Arabidopsis thaliana: one gene and its partners. The protein of the gene in region 1 interacts with the protein of each later gene in a pairwise test. Each region holds a gene or a part of one and is shown on either strand. Other genes may lie near its edges. The genes, in order: HLECRK, GRXC1, HHP1 and AT2G16030.

Region 1 (6,253 bases):
TTTTCTGCAATCAAAAGGGTGTTCACACCACATTCCAAAGAGAAGCAGCTAAGCAACAACAACGTAAGAAATTCTTTTAAACACTTTCATTTTGTTTTATAAACTGAAATGATAAATTTTGAGATTGAAGTGTATATACATTTTGGTGTTTGGTTTTGTGTTTTGAAAGCAAGAACCAGAGATAAAGAGTGAAAACAAAGAAAAGAAGAAGAAAGGTTTTGGAAAGAAACTAAGGAATGGAGAAACCAATTCATTTCTTCCCATTTTTAGACAGCCTAGTAGTATCGAAAAGATCTTGTCTGAAGCCGAACGAGAGCATAACCTTGTCTTTAGGCCACCAACTCCCACTGATCGAGCAAATTCATCATCAACCTCTGTTGCATCTCCTCTTGTTAGGCCTGCTTCTCCTAAAGTGCCTTCTCAAAGATATGTCTCTTCTCCAAAACCCATTTCCCCAAGAGTTGCTTACCCTCAAGTCCATTATCCGAAGCCCCCTTCTCCAAAGCCGCCTTCTCCAAGAGCGGTTTCGCCTAGGATTGTGCAGCGACGTGAGTTTGTGCATAGACCAGAGCCAAGTCTATTGGTCAAAAATGCTTATGCAATTAAGATTCAAGCAGCTTTTAGAGGTTACATGGTAATAATGTAAAACATTCTTGATTCTGTTTTGTCACTATTAATCAAGCAGTAAAATTCATAATTTAGGAGATGGAAATTTGTTTGCAGGCAAGGAGGAGTTTCAGAGCTTTGAAAGGTCTAGTCAGGCTTCAAGGAGTGGTAAGAGGACACAGCGTGAAGCGTCAAACGATGAATGCTATGAAGTATATGCAGCTTTTAGTCCGAGTCCAAACACAAGTCCAGTCACGTCGCATCCAAATGCTCGAAAACCGAGCTAGGAACGATAAAGATGACACGAAATTAGTCTCTAGTCGTATGGTAAGTGCTCTCATAAAACTTAGTGAGAAAAGAAGATCTCTCTCAGTTATTCATTTTGACATTAATTATTGTTACTTTCCTGCAGTCTGACGATTGGGACGATAGCGTGCTGACAAAAGAAGAAAAAGATGTGAGGCTTCATAGGAAGATTGATGCAATGATCAAAAGAGAACGGTCCATGGCCTATGCTTATTCTCACCAGGTATGCAATCATGACTCATCTATTCTTCTTCTTACTCACCATACCAATGTTATATATGCTTGTTTCCTATGCAGTTATGGAAAAACAGTCCAAAGTCTGCTCAGGACATTAGAACAAGTGGGTTCCCACTTTGGTGGAACTGGGTGGACCGGCAGAAGAATCAAAACCAACCGTTCAGGCTAACACCAACACGACCGAGCCTGAGCCCTCAGCCTCAATCTAGCAACCAAAACCATTTCAGGCTCAACAACAGTTTCGACACGTCAACACCCAATTCATCAAAATCCACATTCGTTACTCCATCTAGACCCATTCATACTCCGCAACCATACAGTAGCAGCGTCTCAAGATACTCACGAGGAGGAGGACGAGCTACACAAGATTCTCCTTTTAAAGATGATGATAGCCTCACAAGCTGTCCTCCATTCTCAGCTCCAAGCTACATGGCTCCAACAGTCTCAGCTAAAGCAAAACTAAGAGCAAACAGCAATCCAAAGGAGAGAATGGACCGTACACCGGTCAGCACAAACGAGAAGAGACGAAGTTCGTTCCCTCTTGGTTCGTTCAAATGGAACAAAGGGTCATTGTTCATGAGCAACAACAGTAACAACAAGGGTCCAGGTTCTTCTTCTTCTGGTGCTGTGGTGCTTGAGAAGCACAAAACCCTCAAATCCGTTGGAAATTTGAGTATTGATTCTACTGTTTCGATGCCTGCAACAATTGGGAGGAGGGCTTTTAACAGATTTGCGTGATTTGTTTTTCTTCTTTTTTTCTGTGAAAAAATCTGACCTTTTTTTCCCAGTTGATTCTTCATTGATTTGTTTATCTTACATCAATTTTATGAGTGCTGATGATTTTGAGTGTTGTTTGTGTTCTTGATTACGAATTTTACAGATGTAACATAATAAGAAAAAGTAAACAACAAAAACAGAGGATTTGGATTGTACAGTATGATGTTCTGTTTTTCTGCTTGTAAATCCCTTATCTGTCTTTTGGCCCAAGTAACAAACTTTAACCTTTTCTTTTGGGCCAGACTTCAACTATAATACGTTTTGTAGGCTATATTTTTTCTTTTAACTAGATTCGAATTGGATGGCTTGGGTATGCGGTATCAGTGATTACTTAGCTAAATTCAAATCATCAAGAAATGTTCACATGATTTCCTGCAACATGTCAAAAGTCAGATCAACTTAGTTTGATAAGTTATGTTCCACGAAATTATGTGAAAATTGATTTGTTTTCTTCTTTAGTTTGGTGCTTTCACACTGTTAATCCACAAAGCCTTGTTGTAAATCTTGACCAATGGCCTAAAAGTCAAACCTTTGACTTTTCAGTGTTTCTTCTCAACACTCAAGAGATGGATGATAATATTCACAGATGATCAAAATCTTTCACACAAACCTAAAAAACACCCACCAATGTCTCGTGAACTTATTATTCTCTGCCAACCAATTCTTGTTCTGTTCCTTACTCTGTTTTACAATTCTCATGGCTACTTCGTCTCACAAGGATCTGTAGGAATCGGCTTCAACGGTTACTTCACTTTAACCAACACCACAAAACACACATTCGGTCAAGCTTTCGAAAACGAGCACGTTGAAATCAAGAACTCATCGACAGGTGTCATCTCATCTTTCTCAGTCAACTTCTTCTTTGCGATCGTCCCTGAACATAACCAGCAAGGCTCACACGGTATGACTTTCGTCATCTCTCCCACAAGAGGCCTTCCCGGAGCTTCCTCCGATCAATACCTCGGAATCTTTAACAAAACAAACAACGGTAAAGCCTCGAATAACGTTATAGCTATCGAGTTAGATATTCATAAAGACGAAGAGTTTGGAGATATTGATGATAATCATGTTGGGATTAATATTAACGGTTTGAGATCTGTTGCCTCTGCTTCTGCTGGTTACTATGATGATAAAGATGGAAGCTTTAAAAAACTTTCTTTGATCAGCAGAGAGGTAATGAGGCTTTCCATCGTTTATAGTCAACCTGATCAACAGCTCAATGTTACTTTATTCCCTGCTGAGATCCCTGTTCCGCCACTAAAACCGCTCTTGTCTTTGAACCGAGATCTCTCGCCGTATTTGCTTGAGAAAATGTATCTTGGATTCACTGCATCGACGGGGTCAGTTGGAGCAATTCATTACTTGATGGGTTGGTTAGTTAATGGTGTAATCGAGTATCCGAGATTGGAGCTTAGTATACCAGTCCTTCCTCCATATCCAAAGAAAACATCTAATAGAACGAAAACTGTTTTAGCCGTCTGCTTAACGGTATCTGTGTTTGCTGCGTTTGTCGCTTCGTGGATCGGTTTCGTCTTCTATTTGAGGCATAAGAAGGTTAAAGAGGTTCTTGAAGAATGGGAGATTCAATATGGACCTCATAGGTTTGCTTATAAGGAGCTTTTCAATGCCACAAAGGGTTTCAAGGAGAAACAACTTCTTGGTAAAGGAGGCTTTGGTCAAGTCTATAAAGGAACACTTCCGGGTTCTGATGCAGAGATCGCTGTGAAGCGGACTTCTCATGATTCAAGACAAGGGATGAGCGAGTTTCTAGCCGAGATATCGACCATTGGTCGTCTCAGACATCCAAATTTAGTCAGGCTTTTAGGATACTGTAGGCATAAAGAGAATCTCTACTTGGTGTATGACTATATGCCTAATGGAAGCCTTGACAAGTATCTAAACCGTAGCGAGAATCAAGAACGGCTTACTTGGGAACAACGTTTCAGGATCATCAAAGATGTTGCAACTGCTCTACTACACCTGCATCAAGAATGGGTACAAGTCATCATTCATCGAGATATCAAACCAGCTAATGTTTTAATCGACAATGAAATGAATGCGAGGCTCGGGGATTTCGGACTGGCGAAACTGTATGATCAGGGATTCGATCCTGAAACATCTAAAGTAGCGGGAACATTCGGATATATCGCACCAGAGTTTCTAAGAACAGGAAGAGCAACCACAAGCACTGATGTTTACGCCTTTGGGTTGGTAATGCTTGAAGTAGTGTGTGGTAGAAGGATAATTGAGAGACGTGCAGCAGAAAATGAAGAATATCTTGTGGATTGGATCTTAGAGCTTTGGGAAAATGGGAAAATTTTCGATGCAGCAGAGGAAAGTATACGTCAAGAACAAAACAGGGGACAAGTTGAGCTTGTTTTGAAGCTAGGTGTGTTGTGTTCGCATCAAGCTGCATCGATAAGACCGGCTATGAGTGTGGTAATGAGGATTTTGAATGGAGTTTCACAGCTACCAGATAATCTTCTTGATGTTGTAAGGGCTGAGAAATTTAGAGAATGGCCTGAGACATCAATGGAATTACTACTACTTGATGTGAATACATCGAGTTCATTGGAGTTAACCGACTCTTCTTTTGTCTCCCACGGCCGCTGAAATTTTAAGTTTACCACTGATTCTTTGTTTGCTATGAAGATGTATCACAACTGAGATTATTACACATTGTAATACACAGCCGAATGTTTTTTTTCCTGGTATGTACAAGAATAAGACCACACCGCCTCCTCCAAACATTTTTTTAATCCTTTTGTATTTGATAACAACTCGATTATTAATCTTGAAAATCAATTCTTTTTCTTAGAGACCATTGTCCGGTAAATCCTATGAAATTGAATGGTTAAGAAATCTTATAATACTATACTGTTTCCTCTTTGATACGCCAATTCGTTAGGAGTATCTGCAGAAATTATCCAAATAGAAGAACGTGATCAAACAAAGCTCCGATTATGTTTCTATGGTTCATGAATTCAAAGAACCCTAAACAGATGTGATATAGATATTTAATCTACTATTTCAAAACCTTTTTCGAATCCAAGTTGCTGTCAAAAGTCCAATCTACTGCCTATACTTTTAACGTTGCCTGTCCATACTTATCACCAAAGTTGCAAAATTCAAACCTATAAAATAAACCTAAAGAGATCTTTGAAACCTATGAAGACGATGAAAACAATCGGAAAACTAAGAACATTAAAGATGTGGATTTGAAAAAGAATGTAGCGACTTGTTCGAGGCCAACAATCAAGATTAGAAAACTTGATAGGCACGGAGAATCGCTATTTGTTGTTGCCAACCTTCAAGGCAACTTACGCCATTTTTATTTTGACGTCATTGCTCTGCAAATTGGCTTTTATTTAAAAATATAATTGAAATAAATTACTTAGATACACGATAAAAAAAACACTACAAAGCCATGAAAGACCTCCTAAAGAAAAGAAACTACGACTTTGAATCGGACTTGAAGATGATTGATAGTGTCCAAGCCTTTACTTATTTATATAGGAGAAGCAGAAGCGGCTGCAGAGGAAGAAGAAGAAACCCTAATTTCATTGTTTTTATCAAAGCCACGAAATCGAAATTAATGGGCCAAAAAGCCTACTTTTGATTCAAAATGGGCCCAGATCCACAAAGTAGACTAACGATGATGTAATAAAATATGCGTGCAGGTGAAGAAAGCTATAATAGAGTCACAACTTGGAAATAAGTTTTTTAGACTCTACGCATATATAGAACTTTCCGGTAGCCAGCTTCTCCGGAGGAAGCAACACCAACTTGGCTACAATGGCAGCAGCCTCATCCGCCGTGTGAGTCCCCTGACCACCGGTCATAGACGTACGAGTGAAACCAGGGCATAAACAATTCACACTCAGTTTTTTGCCGTCGTAACGTCGAGCCAAAACCCTAGAGTAAGCGTTTAAGGCCAACTTTGAGATGGCGTAGTCCGGCCAGTTCTCCGGCCATCCTTGCTTCTCCCAAGTCCCGCTCTTCACGTCCTGCAGAAATTGAGTCAATGTCGCATCGATTTGTTCATTGGTAAGGTCTTCACTTTCTAGGATTCGTCTTATACTAGGGCTTCTCAGTTTCTGTATGCCAAGAAAACAAATCCAAATGAGTCAATTATATATATGAAGTTAGTGAGTATTATTGATTTTGTATTCAGTATAACAGATAAATATATGAAGATCTAATAACTGGAACAAATTTTACTAACATTTTATATATTTATATCTTTGAATATATATATATATATATATATATATATATATAAATGCTTTGACAACAAATAAAGAAGATAGATATAAAAATGCTTATA
Region 2 (5,702 bases), on another chromosome or scaffold:
AGTAAGAATTGCAAAAACTATATCTTAAAGTCCACTTCAGACACATTGATTTTAGTATACTCAAATGTGTCAACTAAATTTTCCTACTAGATCAAATGAATATTTGTTCAATGTCTCAAACCACATTGGGAGAAACATCTGTCGAGACAATACATTGGGAGCATGAAACACAGATGCAGCATAGAAGAAACTCTAAAGGCTGACTACAAATTAAGAAATTGTCACCTGAAAGGAACTCCGAGGTTGAAACGGCGAGAAAATGGATGGAACCAAAGAAGAAGCCGAGGAGGACACAAGTTTAGCAGCCATGGCCGGTGAAGGCGGCAATTCTCTTAAACCCTAACGGAGCAACACGGGTTTAATCGGATTAACCCATGAATGGTGTACAGATACAAAAGATTTCCTCAGAGTCCGCAAAAGTAGAACTTTTTCCCAGAGAAACTGATACTGGAGAATAAATTCGAAGACTTTTGGTGAAATTTGAGGATTTGGGCTAATTTGTGAGAGCCACGGCTTCGTTACTTGCTTAGGTTAGTAGTTATTGATTTGATAAATCTTTAAAACAAATCTCCATCTTACACGGGCCTGTCTAGGTTTTGCTCCGCTTATTCCAAAACTTTGTCTTTTCTTCTACAACGCTTCGCTTGAACACACTCTCTGGTCAAATTCAGTTTCCTCAGTTTCTCTTCTTTAACCGGCTCTAGATAATATTTACTAATTGACCCCACAAGTTCTCTTAAACTACGATTTTGCACTATACTTTATAATAAATCTAGATTAACCAAATTGACATTATTCATTGCCATTGGACATTGGTTCTCCGAATTTGGATTACACAAATCAGTGAAAAATGTACTTGTGCTGTTCGAATCCGAATTTGGATTACACAAATCAGTGAAAATGCACTTCTGCTGTTCGAATATTCATTTCTCTTTCAATCGTAACTTTCCGTTGATCGATTTGGCTAATATTAGTTTTTCAGCCTTTAAGGCACCTACACGGCCGGTTACTAGATAAGTTTGGTTCAACCAAAAGCCTTAATCCACCTACTTGACCGGCCTGCTACAAAGTCAACTTGGGATGCAACCAGTAATCTTCAGTAATTTAGAGCAAGAAACTAGAGCAGATTTCTCAAGTTTTATTCCATTAACCGAAACACCAACATGAAAAGTATACACTTAGATATTCTGTATTAAACAACGGGAATGATCTTTCTTTATTGAGTATGTGACGATACCTCTTTTTTCATGATCTAAACACAACACACACTCTTCACACACTAGTTTCGAGTTTCATCAAAGTTGAGAAGAGTTATCTGCAATAGCCCCAGCTTCAGTAAGTAGAGGCACAAGCTTGCCTTGCTTGTTGGTCTCCATCACTCCTGCAAAATATAGAAGCAACACGAAAAACGCAGTTAGTTTTTCCGGCAACCCGAATTTCCATTATTGTGCAGAGAATTTGTGTAGGTTTTTCACTTACTATCGCATCCACCGATGTGGTTTCCTTTGATGAAGACGTTTGGAACTGTGGTCTGTCCAGTCCACTCTGATAAAGCTGATTGGATCTCACCTCCATCACCTGAAGTAAACATAGCATCGAGATAATTCAGGTTCATTGAGATATATTAATATACAGGTATTGACAGGGATTTGGTTTCATACTCATTTCATCGAGCTCAAGTACTTTAAAAGTTGCTCCTAGCTGCGTCAGTAACTGCTTCACCCTCTGGCAATAACCACAGTATGTCTTGCTGCGAAAGAGAAAATATGGATCAGAGCTAAGACATTACATTTGAAAAGTAACCTTTAGACCATCTCAAAAAGTGGAAAGAAATACGTTCCTTTTAAGACTAAGCAAAATCAAACTCAAGACTCTAAGCAACAACAAATTAAGCTTCATTTCAAAACTCCGAAAGGCATCCCCAAATCAGTCATAGGAGCTTGCACGGATCAATCTTCAAAAACTCTAGCTTCTTCAAAGATTTCTAGACTAGTCAGAATCAAATTTGAGAACTGGATCTATCAGTATATATTACATGATCACATCCCTAATCGTCTAGGGAACCCACAAATAATCTCTGAATTGGATGGAGAATCACTAATATAAGATGATGTTCGATCTTTCATTCACGACCTAATTTCACAGATGGAAACAACAAAACAAGCAGACAATGATCCATTGGTGCCTCTGCGTCAAATAGAAGCAGACTCTACCCCCTGATGGTAAAGACTCAAACTTTTTGACTAATTCAAAACCCCTCAAGGCAACAACATCCAATTTTCTCAACAAATTCATAATCACGAACGAAAAGAGTAATACCCAGATGAAAAAGATGGGAGATTTCAACGAGAACAAACCTGAAGACAACAACGGGATAAGCAGAGACGATCTCTTTAGCCTTGTTCACCACCACCTCCATCTCTTCCTTGCTCATTCGGTTTCCACTGAACATTGAACCCATTTCTTCTTCTCTTAACCAAAGACGACCACGACACAACTCCTACAGATGTCCTCTGCTCGAGTTTTGTGCCAATCTTGCTGGCAAATGAAGTTTTTATCTCTTTCAATCAAACCTCAGTCAATATTTATTAAAGAGTTATTTGCGTTGAAAAAAAGTTATCTTTCTGAAATGATACTCTTTTAGTCTTTTTTCGTAGAAATTTCTCTTTTCAGAATATTGTTTAAAGTTTACAATAGCGACGACTTTAGAGTTTGGATTATTGTCAATTTTCACAACTCAGCAGCTCTTATCCTTTTTCTTCTTCTAGTTCTCTGCCACAAGTTTACTTCTTCTTTTGTGTAAACGCAGGATGGGAGGTTGTGTCTCTGTATCAATATCATGTGATCAGTTGACGAAGAATGTTTGTAGTTGCTTAAACAGGAATGGAGATTACATTCATGGCTTAGAGGAGAATCTGACAGCTCTGCAGAGAGCTCTTGAGCAGATTGAGCAAAGACGAGAAGATTTGTTGAGAAAGATTTTGTCTGAAGAAAGACGAGGTTTACAACGACTTTCTGTTGTGCAAGGATGGGTTTCAAAAGTTGAAGCAATAGTACCTCGAGTTAACGAACTCGTCAGAATGAGATCTGTTCAAGTCCAAAGGTTGTGTCTTTGTGGGTTTTGTTCCAAGAATCTTGTCTCAAGCTACCGTTATGGGAAGAGAGTAATGAAGATGATAGAGGAAGTTGAGGTTCTTCGATATCAGGGAGATTTCGCTGTGGTGGCTGAGAGAGTTGATGCAGCAAGAGTGGAAGAGAGGCCTACTAGACCTATGGTTGCTATGGATCCAATGCTTGAGAGTGCGTGGAACCGTCTAATGGAAGATGAGATTGGGATTCTTGGTCTTCATGGTATGGGTGGAGTAGGTAAAACTACACTTCTCAGTCATATCAACAATAGATTCTCTAGAGTTGGGGGCGAGTTTGATATTGTGATTTGGATTGTGGTCTCCAAAGAGTTACAGATCCAGAGGATCCAAGATGAGATATGGGAGAAGTTACGGTCTGATAACGAGAAGTGGAAACAGAAAACAGAGGACATAAAAGCATCTAACATTTACAATGTGTTAAAGCACAAAAGGTTTGTCTTGTTATTGGATGACATATGGAGTAAAGTGGATTTAACAGAGGTGGGAGTTCCGTTTCCGAGTAGAGAAAACGGATGCAAAATAGTATTCACCACTCGGTTGAAAGAAATCTGCGGGCGGATGGGAGTTGATAGCGATATGGAAGTCCGGTGTTTAGCCCCGGATGATGCGTGGGATTTGTTTACTAAGAAAGTAGGAGAGATCACATTAGGGAGCCACCCTGAGATTCCCACAGTCGCAAGAACAGTTGCTAAGAAATGTCGCGGCCTACCATTGGCCCTTAACGTCATTGGTGAAACAATGGCATATAAAAGGACAGTGCAAGAATGGCGTTCAGCAATCGACGTTTTGACTTCATCTGCAGCTGAGTTTTCAGGTATGGAAGATGAGATTCTACCTATTCTAAAGTACAGCTATGATAATTTAAAAAGTGAACAGCTCAAATTGTGCTTCCAGTACTGTGCTTTGTTTCCAGAAGATCATAACATTGAGAAAAATGATTTGGTAGATTACTGGATAGGTGAGGGATTCATAGATAGAAACAAAGGTAAAGCTGAGAACCAAGGTTATGAAATTATCGGTATTCTAGTTCGTTCATGCTTATTGATGGAGGAGAATCAAGAAACGGTGAAGATGCATGATGTGGTCCGAGAAATGGCATTGTGGATAGCATCTGATTTTGGAAAGCAAAAAGAAAACTTTATAGTGCAAGCGGGCTTACAGTCGAGGAACATACCTGAGATCGAGAAGTGGAAAGTTGCGAGAAGGGTGTCATTGATGTTTAACAACATTGAAAGTATACGTGATGCTCCTGAATCTCCCCAACTTATAACTTTGCTCCTCCGAAAGAACTTCTTGGGGCATATCTCAAGCAGCTTCTTTCGGTTGATGCCAATGCTAGTTGTTCTTGATCTATCAATGAACAGGGATCTCAGACATTTGCCAAATGAAATATCAGAATGTGTCTCATTGCAGTATCTGAGCTTATCACGTACAAGGATAAGGATTTGGCCTGCTGGTTTAGTAGAGTTGAGGAAACTTTTATACCTGAATTTGGAGTACACAAGGATGGTAGAGAGTATCTGTGGCATATCAGGTTTAACAAGTTTGAAAGTGTTGAGATTATTTGTTTCCGGTTTCCCTGAAGATCCCTGTGTTTTGAACGAGTTGCAGCTTTTGGAAAACTTGCAAACTTTAACCATAACTCTTGGTCTTGCTTCTATTTTGGAACAATTCCTTAGCAACCAGAGGTTGGCAAGCTGTACACGAGCTCTGCGCATCGAGAATCTTAATCCGCAATCATCTGTAATCTCATTTGTTGCTACTATGGACAGTCTTCAAGAGCTTCATTTTGCAGACTCTGACATTTGGGAGATCAAGGTAAAGAGGAATGAGACGGTTTTGCCTCTGCACATCCCAACCACTACCACATTCTTCCCAAACCTCTCGCAAGTGTCTTTAGAATTCTGCACAAGATTGCGGGATTTGACGTGGCTGATCTTTGCTCCAAATCTTACGGTTCTACGAGTAATTTCAGCGAGTGACCTGAAAGAAGTAATAAACAAAGAGAAAGCTGAGCAGCAAAACCTTATTCCCTTCCAAGAACTAAAAGAGTTGCGGCTAGAAAATGTTCAGATGCTAAAACACATCCACCGGGGTCCCCTGCCATTTCCCTGTTTACAGAAAATTTTGGTTAATGGATGCTCAGAGCTGAGAAAACTTCCACTCAATTTCACGAGTGTCCCAAGAGGTGATCTTGTCATAGAGGCACATAAAAAATGGATAGAAATCCTTGAATGGGAAGATGAAGCCACCAAAGCCCGTTTCTTGCCTACACTCAAGGTTCTTTCTCTCGCATTTATCTGCCAAAACTTCTTTTTAATTATTCATTCCTTTGGATCTTACTCTCTTTTTTGGATGTTTTAGGCTTTTCCGGAGAACATCGACGCTGACGGCTATGAGATTTCCTTCTGAGACGATGACTTCTTGTTGCTGATATTGAGTGACTTAAATATTCAGACATAAGTGTTATTGCTCCAACTCAACATATGTTATTAAATTCACTTTCATTAAGTATGGGGTTCAAGTTGTTTCAACCATATCAGATGGTTCTTG
Region 3 (6,137 bases), on another chromosome or scaffold:
TCGCTTCGTTTCCCATAGCAAACGAGTAAATAATTCAAGAAAACCGAATTTATACATACTCCAAATGAAGGGAATAAAAAGGATTTCGAAAATAATTTATTCATGTAAACAATAAATGTATTTTGCTTAAAAATCATTGTCGAATGTCGGTTACACTTTTGAGGTAAATTTTGAATTTCTCTTCTTTGAAATCCAAATGATCTGGGGAGAAAATTATGGGTAACTTAAATGAAAATTGTCATATCATTAGCATAAAATGTAGTTGTATACTTAATAATTTTCATATTGACTAGTTTTTTTCCCCCAATAAAATCTTAGTATTACATTTATTTCCTAGTATGGAAAGTAACTTTAAATGAAAATTTGAAAGACAAAAAAAAAAGGAGAAACGAAGAAAAAAAGGAAACAGAAACTTACTGATGAAATGCAAAAGCGTTTCTGTAAACGGCTCCTCGAGGAACAAAGGTTTCTTCTTTGTCCGATACAAACTTCTTCAACCTCACGGCTTCACGTATGGCGGATCTTGATTTTGCTAAACCTTCCTCAATTATGTTCCTCTTATTTCCTTTCTTATTACAACAAATTATATATATTCAAAAGTCAAAACAAATCTATAGCATAAATGAACAAAATCACGTAAATTAATAAAAACATACATTTTCAGGAGGACTCGAAATTGTTGAAAGGTTTGATGAGGCGACACTAAACTCCATAGACAGGGACGGTGAAGGAGATGGGGCGAGGGACGTAGCGTCGACGAAAGAAGAGAGAGCGTTCGAGTTTAGGTTTGGAGAAGAGTGATGTTGATAAAAGACGAGAAGAACAAGAAGAAGAAGAAGAGTTGGAACTAGAGAGAGTTTCATATTAACAAAATTTGATTGTTCCATATTTTTTTTCTCTAGTTTCTTGGGCAGTGACACATTTAGGGTATATACTTATGTAGTAGAGGAATATAAGAGTCTATTATAGTAGAGAATCCAAACCAGCTAAAAGTCTACCAAATAAAATCACTAGAAAGGTAAAAAATTAAAGCAGAAATGGACCAAAATAAATCCTATTAGGGAAGGAAACGGAAGACTAATAGAGTAATTGAGAAGCAAATAACATTAATTTTGTATTTATTGCTTTATAAAAATGTTTACCGAATCAGAAGTAAATCTTCATATCGTTCGGGGTTTGGCACCGTCGATCGTTACTAGCTAGCTATCATGGCATGCTTAATTTTAGGGTCAATTTTGGGTTTGGTTGCAAGAAGAAAAACGAAAAACTTTTATACCCATTATCAAACCGGTTCTTCCCGTACTGCTATAACCGGTCTGAGGCAGGCAAATCAAATTTGGGGTGGTTAAGCATAACCGGCATTATAAAGCTTTAGCTGACATGTTTGGTCGTATATTTGTCACTCTTGAAGATAATTTAACAATAACATCAAATTGGGTTAATTAGAAGAACTGTTTCACGTACGCTATGTTTCACACATCAACCTTAAACTAATGGTGATGGTGTTCGATTCTTTGTTTTACTCATTAACCACACATAAAAAAAGTTTCATACATCAAAAGGAAAAAAAAAAAAAGATATATGAAAATATACACCAAGTCTCACGGCAAGACCAAGACATTTGGCTTCCGAAATTCGAAAAGAGTTTGGGTCCGTTCACGCATTATCGATCAAGAGTCTAGTTACAGAGTGAAGCTTGGTCTTTAATTATGTTTATGTCTGATCAATCCTTGTCTTGCATCTAATTAACACCTGTATAACCTAGTAACACATATATTTATATCAAATCAAAAAGAACAAAAAAACTTTGAAGCAATAATAAGAGGACTCGGCTATGAAGAATGAAAAAGGAAGCGGAGACTTTGATGAACATTTGATGGTGCATATATACATATTAATTCTCTTGTGGTTAGGGAATCCTGACACTAAGCTAAGTGCGCATGTAGATAGATGAAAGAACCATCAACCATGCATGAAGTCCATCCTTTGCATCATTGGTTTTTTTTTTTTTTTATAAAACAAATCATTGGTTGTTTCAACCGTCAATTTTTGCTTTTGTGTTTACATCAATTTTTTTTTATGTCTTTTCAATTCTGTTTGCTTTCATGATATAAAGCAAACAAACAATTGAAGTCATCATATTCAAAAACGAAACTATTCAGTGGCAAATATTTGATTTACCATTAACTTCTCATAGAGAAAAAGACTTCTGAAAATCATGCATATTCAACAAACATAACAATTAACACAAGTTGAATTACAATTCAATTTAAAACAAATGGGTTATTACAATTTTGTTCACCACGATACAACAAATTAATAATATTATATTTAAAAGAATTACAAATATATGGTTTAACAACCAACGTGGTCACGCCAGTCCAAGAACAAGAGAGCAGCTGCATAGTGAGACAAAGCACCCAACAAAACGAACACATGGAAGATCTGATGACTATGTCCCACACGATCAAACCATCCCGGTTTAAGCCTTTCTGGCACTCTCCCTACGTAGAATCCTGTTCCAACAAGATAGAACACTGCCATAAGCAACTCGTACACGAGCGTCACGTTCCTTTGCGGGTTTCCCCAATTGACCACTAGCGCGTGGGCAGCTGGGACAATCCCAAACAGCCCCATGGAGGCAAAGAGCAAAGCGCGGAAAGCTCGGTACTTGGGAGCGGAAAGTGATGGGGTGAAAAGTGTGATGATTGTGAAGATTCCCATGGATGTGATGCCTGCGAGGTAGATGAAGTACCACCGAGGAGTGCACTGGAAGATGTAGAAGATTGGTGGGAAGAAGGAAGTGATGATCATGGCGGTGATACCGGCATAGTCTATTCGGAGAAGGAAGACATTAAGCTCTTTTGAGTGGCAACAGAAGAGGTGACAAATGCTGCTTGCGAGTAGGCAGAACATTGAGCCTCCTAAGAAAACGAAGAAGGGCCATCTTGTTACATTCCCTGGACTCTTTGCATCCTACAATCATCAACATTGATACCACCATTAGCTTTACATTTTTATTGACTAGTTTGAGATACTAAAAAAACATATACTAGATATATGATCAAATAACATATTTGAGTTGATTTCTAATCTAGTTAAGAAATACATTTTCTTCAGTTGTTTAGATATGTGATTAAATAATAGATTTGAGCTGATATATAATCCTTAAAAGAATTACATTTTATTGAGTTGTTTAGAATATACTACAGAAAACAAATTATAGTCAATGTAATATTGTCAAAGATTTTATTCATCATTTCGATTCATGTCTATATATCTTTGATATCTTATTCAAAATCATCATAACAAAATCCAGGTATAGCAACGAACAATTCATTAGAAAATTAAGATAAGTTAATCAAAACCAATTAGGTATATATCTAATTACTTGACACATTCACTTGACTAATTTGAAGTTAATATAGTGGTTGCATGTGGATCTCGAGGGAATAAATTGAAATTCGGGCTAAACTTGCGATTATTAAACAAAAACAAAAATAAACGTGTTGATTAAAGGACACTTACCACGGGGAAGAATCCGTCGTGATGAATAATATTGGCGACGGTTAGTGCCACAAAGAAGATAAAACCAATCAAATGTCTGTCCAAAAAAAAAAAACTATTAGAAAAAAAAATCGAAGAAAAAATAATTGAAACTAGAAGTAAAATTTGGTGTACTTACGTCCAAACATTGAGGGACTCATTGTGGAAACTAAATACGCTGAAGAAAGCATCTCTAATGGACCAATCAGCTCTGTAATAATTCAATATGTATTCGTTGTCTTTCATGTACTCCGGTAGCTCACAATACGACATTAATTCACGTCGTTTCATTGTCTTTTGTTGCGTTTTTCTCTTCTTCCTTCTCTTGGTACCACTACTCTCATCTCCACCGTGATCATCTCCAGGCACGATCTTGCTTTTGCAGTTGCCGTTGCCGCATGAAACTGTTTCTGCTTCGTCGTTATGACCATTTTGGTCCATAAGAGCTCTCGAGTATCGATTCTTGAGACAAGAATACTCAATCTTGATCTCAAGAGAAGATGGTGAGAGAGAAGATCTGAGAGGAGAGGAAAATATATAATGAAGAAAGATTATTATTATTATTATAGTTGAAGTAACAAGTATTAAAATGTGAATTTAAGTTTGAGGGGAGAGAGAGAGAGAGAAGAAACAAGGAAGATGTGAAATGTAAGGAGACAGCTGCAACATTTAAAGACGAAACTTTAGTATGCAGGTAGAAGTTGGTGTCGTGTTTTCATCTTTTAGTTGTTAGTTAGGTTATCAATAAATTCTTCTTTTTTGATTATTATTATTTCATTTCCCTTTCTCTTACGTTTGTTTTTATTGTATTTTTTTTTAACAAGAAAAGTGATTCAGTTTTACACTACTTTTTGAGATATGGAAAATCTTTTGAATACGAGAAGAGTAAATTTAGGCGATTTTAAGACCGACCGACTCAAAATTCACTACCGGCTTGTACCTCTTTTACATGATTGATGCCTTGTACCCACCGGATCGTTTGTATTTATAAGAAAGATATAAGATATGTGATGCAAACAAAATAGTACTCTTGATGTAAAAATAAAAAATAAGGACTCATTTAGACTTTTACTATGCTTCAATCAACATTAAATTCTGTGTGAAATTAAGATTGGTGAGGGGTTTACTTTACTTGAAATAGACGAGTAATTTTAGAAAATTTGCATTTTTGAGTTCTTATGTGTAATTCTAAGTAATTTTTTTAACAGAAGAAGTTAGGATAACAACAGAATTTAATGTAGTTATGAGTTATGAAGTGATTGTGGTAAAGAAGTGTCAAAGCTCTTTCCATCAAGTGGATGACAACAAAAATAATGATACTAAAAACAAGCATGCAAACATTTCAAGGATTCCTTTTTTTAAAAGAGTAGACCACAAAAGCCAAAATCATGAAAATTTCTATTTTTTTCTTGTGAAATGTTGCAAAAAACATTAGTGTCATTTTCAATGAGTTACCACTTGAAAAGGACTTGACCTTTAAATGCCTCTAGCAATATAGAACTTCAAGTTAATTAATTAGGCAGATGACTAAACTTTAGAACAAATTTATAATTTATTTGGAAATCAACTAAAAAAGGATGTTAAAAATTAGACGAAAATATCTTCATACAAGGAATTATAAACGTTTTGTTGGCAAAAAAAAAGGGAATTATAAACGTTTGTGACATGCATTCATGTAATACATGTTATTATGCTGTTATTATGAAGGAGTTAGTGAGTAAAGATCTTGACGCCACTACAAGGTTTGTACTTCGGTATGTGTTTCAAAACACGATACATTCTATATGGAGAGAAAGAAATGAGAGGAGATATGGACAGACGCCATCGAGGACGAAGAAGATAATCAGGCTGATAGACAAAAACATAAGGAATGGATTAAGCACGTTGAGGGTAAGATGTGAAGAGAAGTACGCAAGAGGAATCCAAGTGTGGTTTACTTTTAGGCAAGAACAAAATCAAAGATAAATAAGATATACTTTTGATCTATTTTTAAGAAAAGTTTGCATTTCTGTATATAAACAGTTTATTTTTCTTTGAATATAATTTAACACTAAATTCAAAAAAAAAAATATGTTGTTATTATGTAGATAGTAATTAACATCTCGGCGTCCCATAGCCATACCTTTATTTTTTCTCTTACAAAATTCAGTTTTGTTATCTAAAATTAAAGCTGATAAAATGGCCATAGTTGTAGCTTTCTGGTCTTTCAAGATTTGGGTTGGCTTAGGCTTTTTGGGAAAACATTAACCAAAGAGGTCACTCCTGAAACACCCCCAAGGAATCGCAATCATATACGCAAACTCCATATACGTGTGTTTAAGTTTCTTGGGAAAATAGTTTATTACTAATTCATAACTTAAGATTTTGTTAAATATGGTTGAAGAAGAAAATGACTTTATCTTCTCGACATCTTTTGTAATCTTTACTTTTGGATATAACTGCCATGTGTTTGCAATCTATTTAGCCTTAATTATATATTTTGTCGCCTAGGCCTAATTAAAATCAAAAGGAATGGTTTTATTTATATGAATGTTGTTCTGTTAATTAAAATACCGGGAATATCCTCTTTTTCTTTTTATTATTACAATACT
Region 4 (5,309 bases), on another chromosome or scaffold:
TTCTCAACCAGTTCTTGTTATACAGATATCAGCGCCAAACCATTCAATCGCTCTTGAGACATAGTCGAACGTAGATATTTTTTTATGAGCTTTAATTTTGAAAAAGTTCTCTCCGCCAAAGCAACTGAAACCGGAATGGTGAGTAGTATACGATAAGCGATCCATGTGTTTGGATAACAGCTATCCATTATTTTCAAAAATTTCAACACTTCGACCGGCTTTGTAATCTCTTTTGGCAACACATCTTTTAAAAGTTTCAGCTCCATAAACAGATCTTCTCCATCAACATCTGAATGCACATCATGCTTCAAAGAAGCTTCAAGCTTCATACACGATGTCCTTAACTCATCATCTTCTGCTACCTTCAATCTCTTTACACCAAACAAAAATCCAAATATTTGTTCATATACTTGGAATTGCTCGAATCTTATCTCAATACACATTATAGCTTGATCCATTATATTGATGAAGTAATCAATTCTAAAACTCTCCTCTGCAATCTTACTTTCATCAATCTTCTCAACATCCTCAACAAATTGCTTTTTTTTTTTCACCGACTTTTTTGGAAATACCGGCGCAATCTTCATCTCAATGGCAATTTGTGTAGATTCAACTTTGGCTTTCTCGAAACCTGTTTCTTTGTAGTTTTTCAAATAAGTAACAAGCCCTCCTAACTGAGAAATAGCAACCTCAAGATCCATATCCTCAAACTGTAAGGATTTGCTTACTATATTCACAGCAGCTAGCAAATCGTACCAAATTATCATTCCAAATAAAAATTCAAACCCTCCAATTCCATGTGTTTCACTCTCTGTAAGAGACTCAACATCACTCCGGTGTCCTGGATTATCAGTGTATTCTGCCAAATAAAAAAGTGCATCTTGTATCTGTATCTTTGAAGCTTAATATCTTATTGGTTTAAGACTATCAATGCGGCTTTCCCAACGCGTTTGAGACAACGGTTTAAGTGTAATACCATTCACTGTTTCTCTAAACACTTCCCAATTGTTGGTTGAAGCTTCAAACAGACAATGTATTCGCTGAACAATTCCAAAAAAAGAAACAGCTTTCTTGGATGATGAAGCCATATCACAAAGTGCAAGGTTAAGACCATGGCATCCACATGGAGTGTAAAATGCTCTTGGATTTATATCAAGCAACCTTTTCTGAACTCCTTTATGTTTTCTCTTCATATTTTGTCAGTTGTCGTATGCTTGTCATCTTACATCATCAATATTCAACTTAAGATCAATCAATGCATCTTGAAGAGTCTTAAAAAGCCCCTCACCCCTCTTATCTTTGATGTGTAGAAACGTCAAGAAGAACTCCTCAATCTTAGGTGAACACGTTGAAACATCCACACATCGAATTAAGAAGGTCATTTGTTCTTTACGACTAACATCCGGAATGGAATCAAGAATGACTGAAAAATACTTCGCATCTTTAATCTTCTTTAAGATCATCATCTTGGTATCATTAGCAAGTAATTCTGTCAATTCATTCTGACTCTTATGACTGGGAAAATGGCAATGAATTTCACCTTTATTAGCCCGCCGAATGTGTTCCTTCATATCCGAATTAAAACCTCCAATCATTCTAATAAATGCCAAAATATTTCCACTATTTGGATCATCAACATTCTCTTTAGTTCCACAAAATGCTAAATTTTGTTTAGCTAGAGTCTTTACCACTGCAATTATTCTCACCAATACATCTCTCCAATGTTTTTTCTCCTTCTTAATTGCCTATTCCATATGGTTATCAATTGTTTTACTCTTTTGTAATCTCACTTCTAGCTCCATCCAATGAGTCATGGAAATAATATGACGATGAGTTGTTTCATGTCTTTTCAGCCTTTGCGCAGCATTTTTCCAGTCATTATACCCACTACTTGCTAACAATGTAGGATTTGTTTCTTGATCGAATAATTAGAGAGAAATTCGATCCGCTGATTTTTGAGGAATATTTGAATTTTGATTCTAAAAATAAGTGAATTCGAGTTTTGGTGACAAAGCAGCGCATTTGTTAGCTGATTGTATTTTGATTATTGATGCTATATAGACATAGATTTGTGCGAAAATTGAGGAACAAGAGAGAAATTTGATCCGCTAATTTTTGAGGAAGATTTGAATTTCGATTCTAAAAATAGATGGATTAGATCTGCAGCGTTTGTTAGTTGAATGTGTTTCGATTATTGATGCTAAATATACATAGATTTGTGCCAAAATGAGGAATTAGAGAGAAATTCGATCCGCTAATTTTTGAGGAATATTTGAATTTTGTTTTTAAAAATAGATGGATTCGAGTTTTGGTAACAATCGGCGGTGTTTGTTAGTTGATTGTGTTTTAATTATTGATGCTAAATAGACATAGATTTGTGTAAAAATTGAGGAACTGAGAGAAATTTGATTTGCTAATTTTTGAGGAATATTTGAATTTTAATTCCAAAAATAGATGGATTCGAGTTTTGATAACAATTCGCAGCGTTTGTTAGTTGACCATGTTTCGATTAATTATACTAAATCGACATAGATTTGTGGAAAATTGAGGAAATAGAGAGAAATTCGATCCGCTAATCTTATATGAATATTTGAATTTCGTTCCAAAAATAGATTATTTAGAGTTTTGGTAACAATCAACGGCGTTTGTTAGGTGATTGTGTTTTTATTATTGATGTTATATAAACATAGATATTTTGATCGGAGTTTTGATCGGCGACGATGGAGAGAAACGTCGAGAAGATGCTGAAGAGAGTATCAATAGTGTTCTTAAGCATCGGAACAGTATTAATGGTAATTATGATTCTCCAGACACCAAAAACTTGTATTTCTCCAGAAGCTCCATCGAAACCTCATACGCATTTCCCGAGATCTACATGCGATTCATCGCCTCGTCAGCATCTTCCTCTCCCAAAGAAGAACGCTCGAATCTGGTCCTCTGGAGCTTGGAAATCTCGTCTATACTCCTTCTCTACCTACTTCCTCCGATTTCGCGATCTCGGATTCATTCAAAATCACACCAAAGCTCTCTGTCTCTCCGCCGGAGCAGGCCATGCTCTGATGGCTCTTTCTCAGATCGGATTATCTGATGTTACCGCAGTTGAATTGGTTGATTCGATTCCTCTTGTGAAAAGAGCTGATCCTCATAACCTTCCGTTTTTCGACGGTGTCTTTGATTTTGCCTTCACTGCACATCTAGCTGAAGCTCTGTTTCCGTGGCAGTTTGTGGAGGAGATGGAGAGGACGGTGAGACGTGGCGGATTTTGTGTGGTTTCGGTTGATGAATGTGGTGGAGATGATGTAAGAGACATTGCTAGGCTTTTTCATAACTCCAAGGTCGTTGATGTTGCTAATGTAACCTTAGAAGGATCCAAAAAGACTAGTATACTATTCAAAGTTCAAGACTCTCCTACCTGAGGTGTTTTATTTCTCTTTTGATTTATAGGCCCTTTCCGGATTCTCAGAAAACTGCTTCAATATTCATAGAGTGGAGCTAGATTTGTTTCTGTTGAAATTCACTTACATGTTTGAAAAGCAGGAGATTTAACAGATTATGTGGTAACATTGTTCAAAGACCATGACCATATTTGTTCTGGATCCTAAAGCAATGTTTTGTTGAGGGAAGCTGCGATGTTTGTTGCGAGTTCAAGATCCAGAACAAAAGCTTTCTACAGGTTAATATCTTTTTTTTTGGAAGTTGGTCTCTGAGCTAAACAATTCTTAGGAACCTTGGTCGCTTTTGAAACAAGTAAAGAACTTTCAACAGCTTTTGAAGACTTTAGTGTGTGATGAAAGAAAGTACTTTCTTTCCAGGTGAGGTTCACGTTTCAATCTGTTAGAGCTCTCCTGTGTACTATTTGTGAGTTAAGTAAAATACTCTTTAGTCATTTTGTATACTTAGAAAGAACAAAATTCTTATTGGTGAATAAAAGGCTCTTACTAAAAAAAAAAAAAAAAAAAAAAAAAAATTTTCTCTCAAGCAAGATAACCAAGGTAGCCGCAAGCCTTGTTCGTGATTAGTTCTCTTCACCGGCGTTGCTCCTCTGACTGCCTGCGTTCCTGATTGTAGCTACTACTAAAGTGAGATCTCTCCAATGAATCTACTTTTCCGGTGGCGTAATTGTTTTCCGGCGAGTCTTTCACTTGAAATGACTTTCCTTTTTCTCTCGAATGCGAGCCACTCTCGTCGCTTACCGTCGTCTTCGGTCGCCTTCCTCCTTCTGAGGCCACCTTGTGCACCACCACCAGAGCCTCCATCTCCGCCGACTCCACCGGAACCACCGGATCCACCAGATTCTCAGATCTGCTTCACTTTTGCTGATTCTTATGCTCAGTCGTTGAGCTCCTCTTCCCTCCCAGATTTGGTCTCGCTCATTCTCCATATCTCCTCCGCCATATCTGAATCTCCGTCACCGACCTCTTCGATCACTGATTTTTTCATTGATGTTTTCCTTCTCGCCGACGACACCACTTTTCTTCCTCAGTATTTCCCTCAGGTTTGCTCTTACTCTTCGCCGTATGTTTCTTCTAAGATTGGAAGGGTTTGGTTGTTGATAGAGTTTGTGGCTCTGGTTTTGTGGAATTTGGGTTTGTGTAATTCATATGTAGCTTATCTAGTTTCGATTGGCTTGGATACTTTTGTGCTCTCTTGTAGCACCTCTATCGCTTTGATGCGATCACTTACCACAATATGTGGATGTCTTAATTCGCCTTTGTTAAAAGTTGTCTCATCGCAGCTTAGACAGAATGTTTTGGATACTTTTGTGCTCTCTTGTAATACCTCTATCGCTTTAATGCGATCTTTTACTGCAGTATGCGGATTCTATCTCGATTTGTTTTTGTTAAAAGTTGTCTCTTCGCAGCTTAGACGGAGGGCTTTGATTTCAGACAACCTACCAGTTTTTCTGGTTCATTGGGGATTTCATAGCCCTCATCTCTCCTTTATGGAGCTTTTTATCCTCTCAAATACTTCACTTGTGTTTAGTGATAAAGTTACAGGGAGCATTGTGTGCAATACTGATCTGCTTGAAGTAGAAGCGAGGATTGTTGTTCAAGACTGTTCTCATTCAGCCTTTGCCGATTGTTTGACGTTAGTGTCATTGGAGGCTTTGTTTCCTCCTTATTGTGGTTTCGACAAGGTCTTCCAAGCTAAAGGTGTTTGCTTTTTTGGATGCTCTTGGTTAGTTGCTGCTTTGCTAGAACCTTTGGGTTCACCCTTGTCCCCAAGTCTCTTTTTGAGCATTGTTGTTGCTAGCTTTCGCTTATGTTTGATCTCTATGTTTGTCGATGCTTTAGCTTTTCCGACTTGTT

The links.
Region 2: the proteins of HLECRK (region 1) and GRXC1 interact in a protein complementation assay, tested with the Arabidopsis thaliana proteins (one large-scale study listed by BioGRID).
Region 3: the proteins of HLECRK (region 1) and HHP1 interact in a protein complementation assay, tested with the Arabidopsis thaliana proteins (one large-scale study listed by BioGRID).
Region 4: the proteins of HLECRK (region 1) and AT2G16030 interact in a protein complementation assay, tested with the Arabidopsis thaliana proteins (one large-scale study listed by BioGRID).

Annotation. Positions count from the first base shown.
Region 1 is NC_003074.8:22,049,593-22,055,845, forward strand, and holds HLECRK (lectin-receptor kinase), read left to right. Parts: upstream 1-2,528; 5' UTR 2,529-2,553; coding exon 2,554-4,539; 3' UTR 4,540-4,802; downstream 4,803-6,253. Other genes in the region: IQD13 (IQ-domain 13), read left to right, coding at 1-63, 170-634, 724-933, 1,019-1,135, 1,210-1,887; AT3G59710 (NAD(P)-binding Rossmann-fold superfamily protein), read right to left, coding at 5,628-6,023.
Region 2 is NC_003076.8:25,283,111-25,288,812, reverse strand, and holds GRXC1 (Thioredoxin superfamily protein), read right to left. Parts: upstream 2,637-5,702; 5' UTR 2,462-2,636; coding exon 2,358-2,461; intron 1,751-2,357; coding exon 1,662-1,750; intron 1,579-1,661; coding exon 1,480-1,578; intron 1,382-1,479; coding exon 1,296-1,381; 3' UTR 1,119-1,295; downstream 1-1,118. Other genes in the region: AT5G63040 (uncharacterized protein), read right to left, coding at 226-309; AT5G63020 (Disease resistance protein (CC-NBS-LRR class) family), read left to right, coding at 2,811-5,429, 5,514-5,561. UniProt on the Arabidopsis thaliana protein: Has a glutathione-disulfide oxidoreductase activity in the presence of NADPH and glutathione reductase. Reduces low molecular weight disulfides and proteins.
Region 3 is NC_003076.8:6,838,670-6,844,806, forward strand, and holds HHP1 (heptahelical transmembrane protein1), read right to left. Parts: upstream 4,278-6,137; 5' UTR 3,988-4,277; coding exon 3,686-3,987; intron 3,605-3,685; coding exon 3,529-3,604; intron 2,977-3,528; coding exon 2,356-2,976; 3' UTR 2,164-2,355; downstream 1-2,163. Other genes in the region: AT5G20260 (Exostosin family protein), read right to left, coding at 418-569, 657-887. UniProt on the Arabidopsis thaliana protein: May act as a negative regulator of abscisic acid (ABA)-mediated osmotic stress signaling and function in cross-talk between cold and osmotic signaling.
Region 4 is NC_003071.7:6,972,303-6,977,611, reverse strand, and holds AT2G16030 (S-adenosyl-L-methionine-dependent methyltransferases superfamily protein), read left to right. Parts: upstream 1-2,604; 5' UTR 2,605-2,720; coding exon 2,721-3,416; 3' UTR 3,417-3,939; downstream 3,940-5,309. Other genes in the region: AT2G16040 (hAT dimerization domain-containing protein / transposase-like protein), read right to left, coding at 18-859, 1,289-1,595; AT2G16020 (uncharacterized protein), read right to left, coding at 4,026-4,256; AT2G16019 (uncharacterized protein), read right to left, coding at 4,330-4,440; AT2G16018 (uncharacterized protein), read left to right, coding at 4,094-4,495, 4,992-5,033.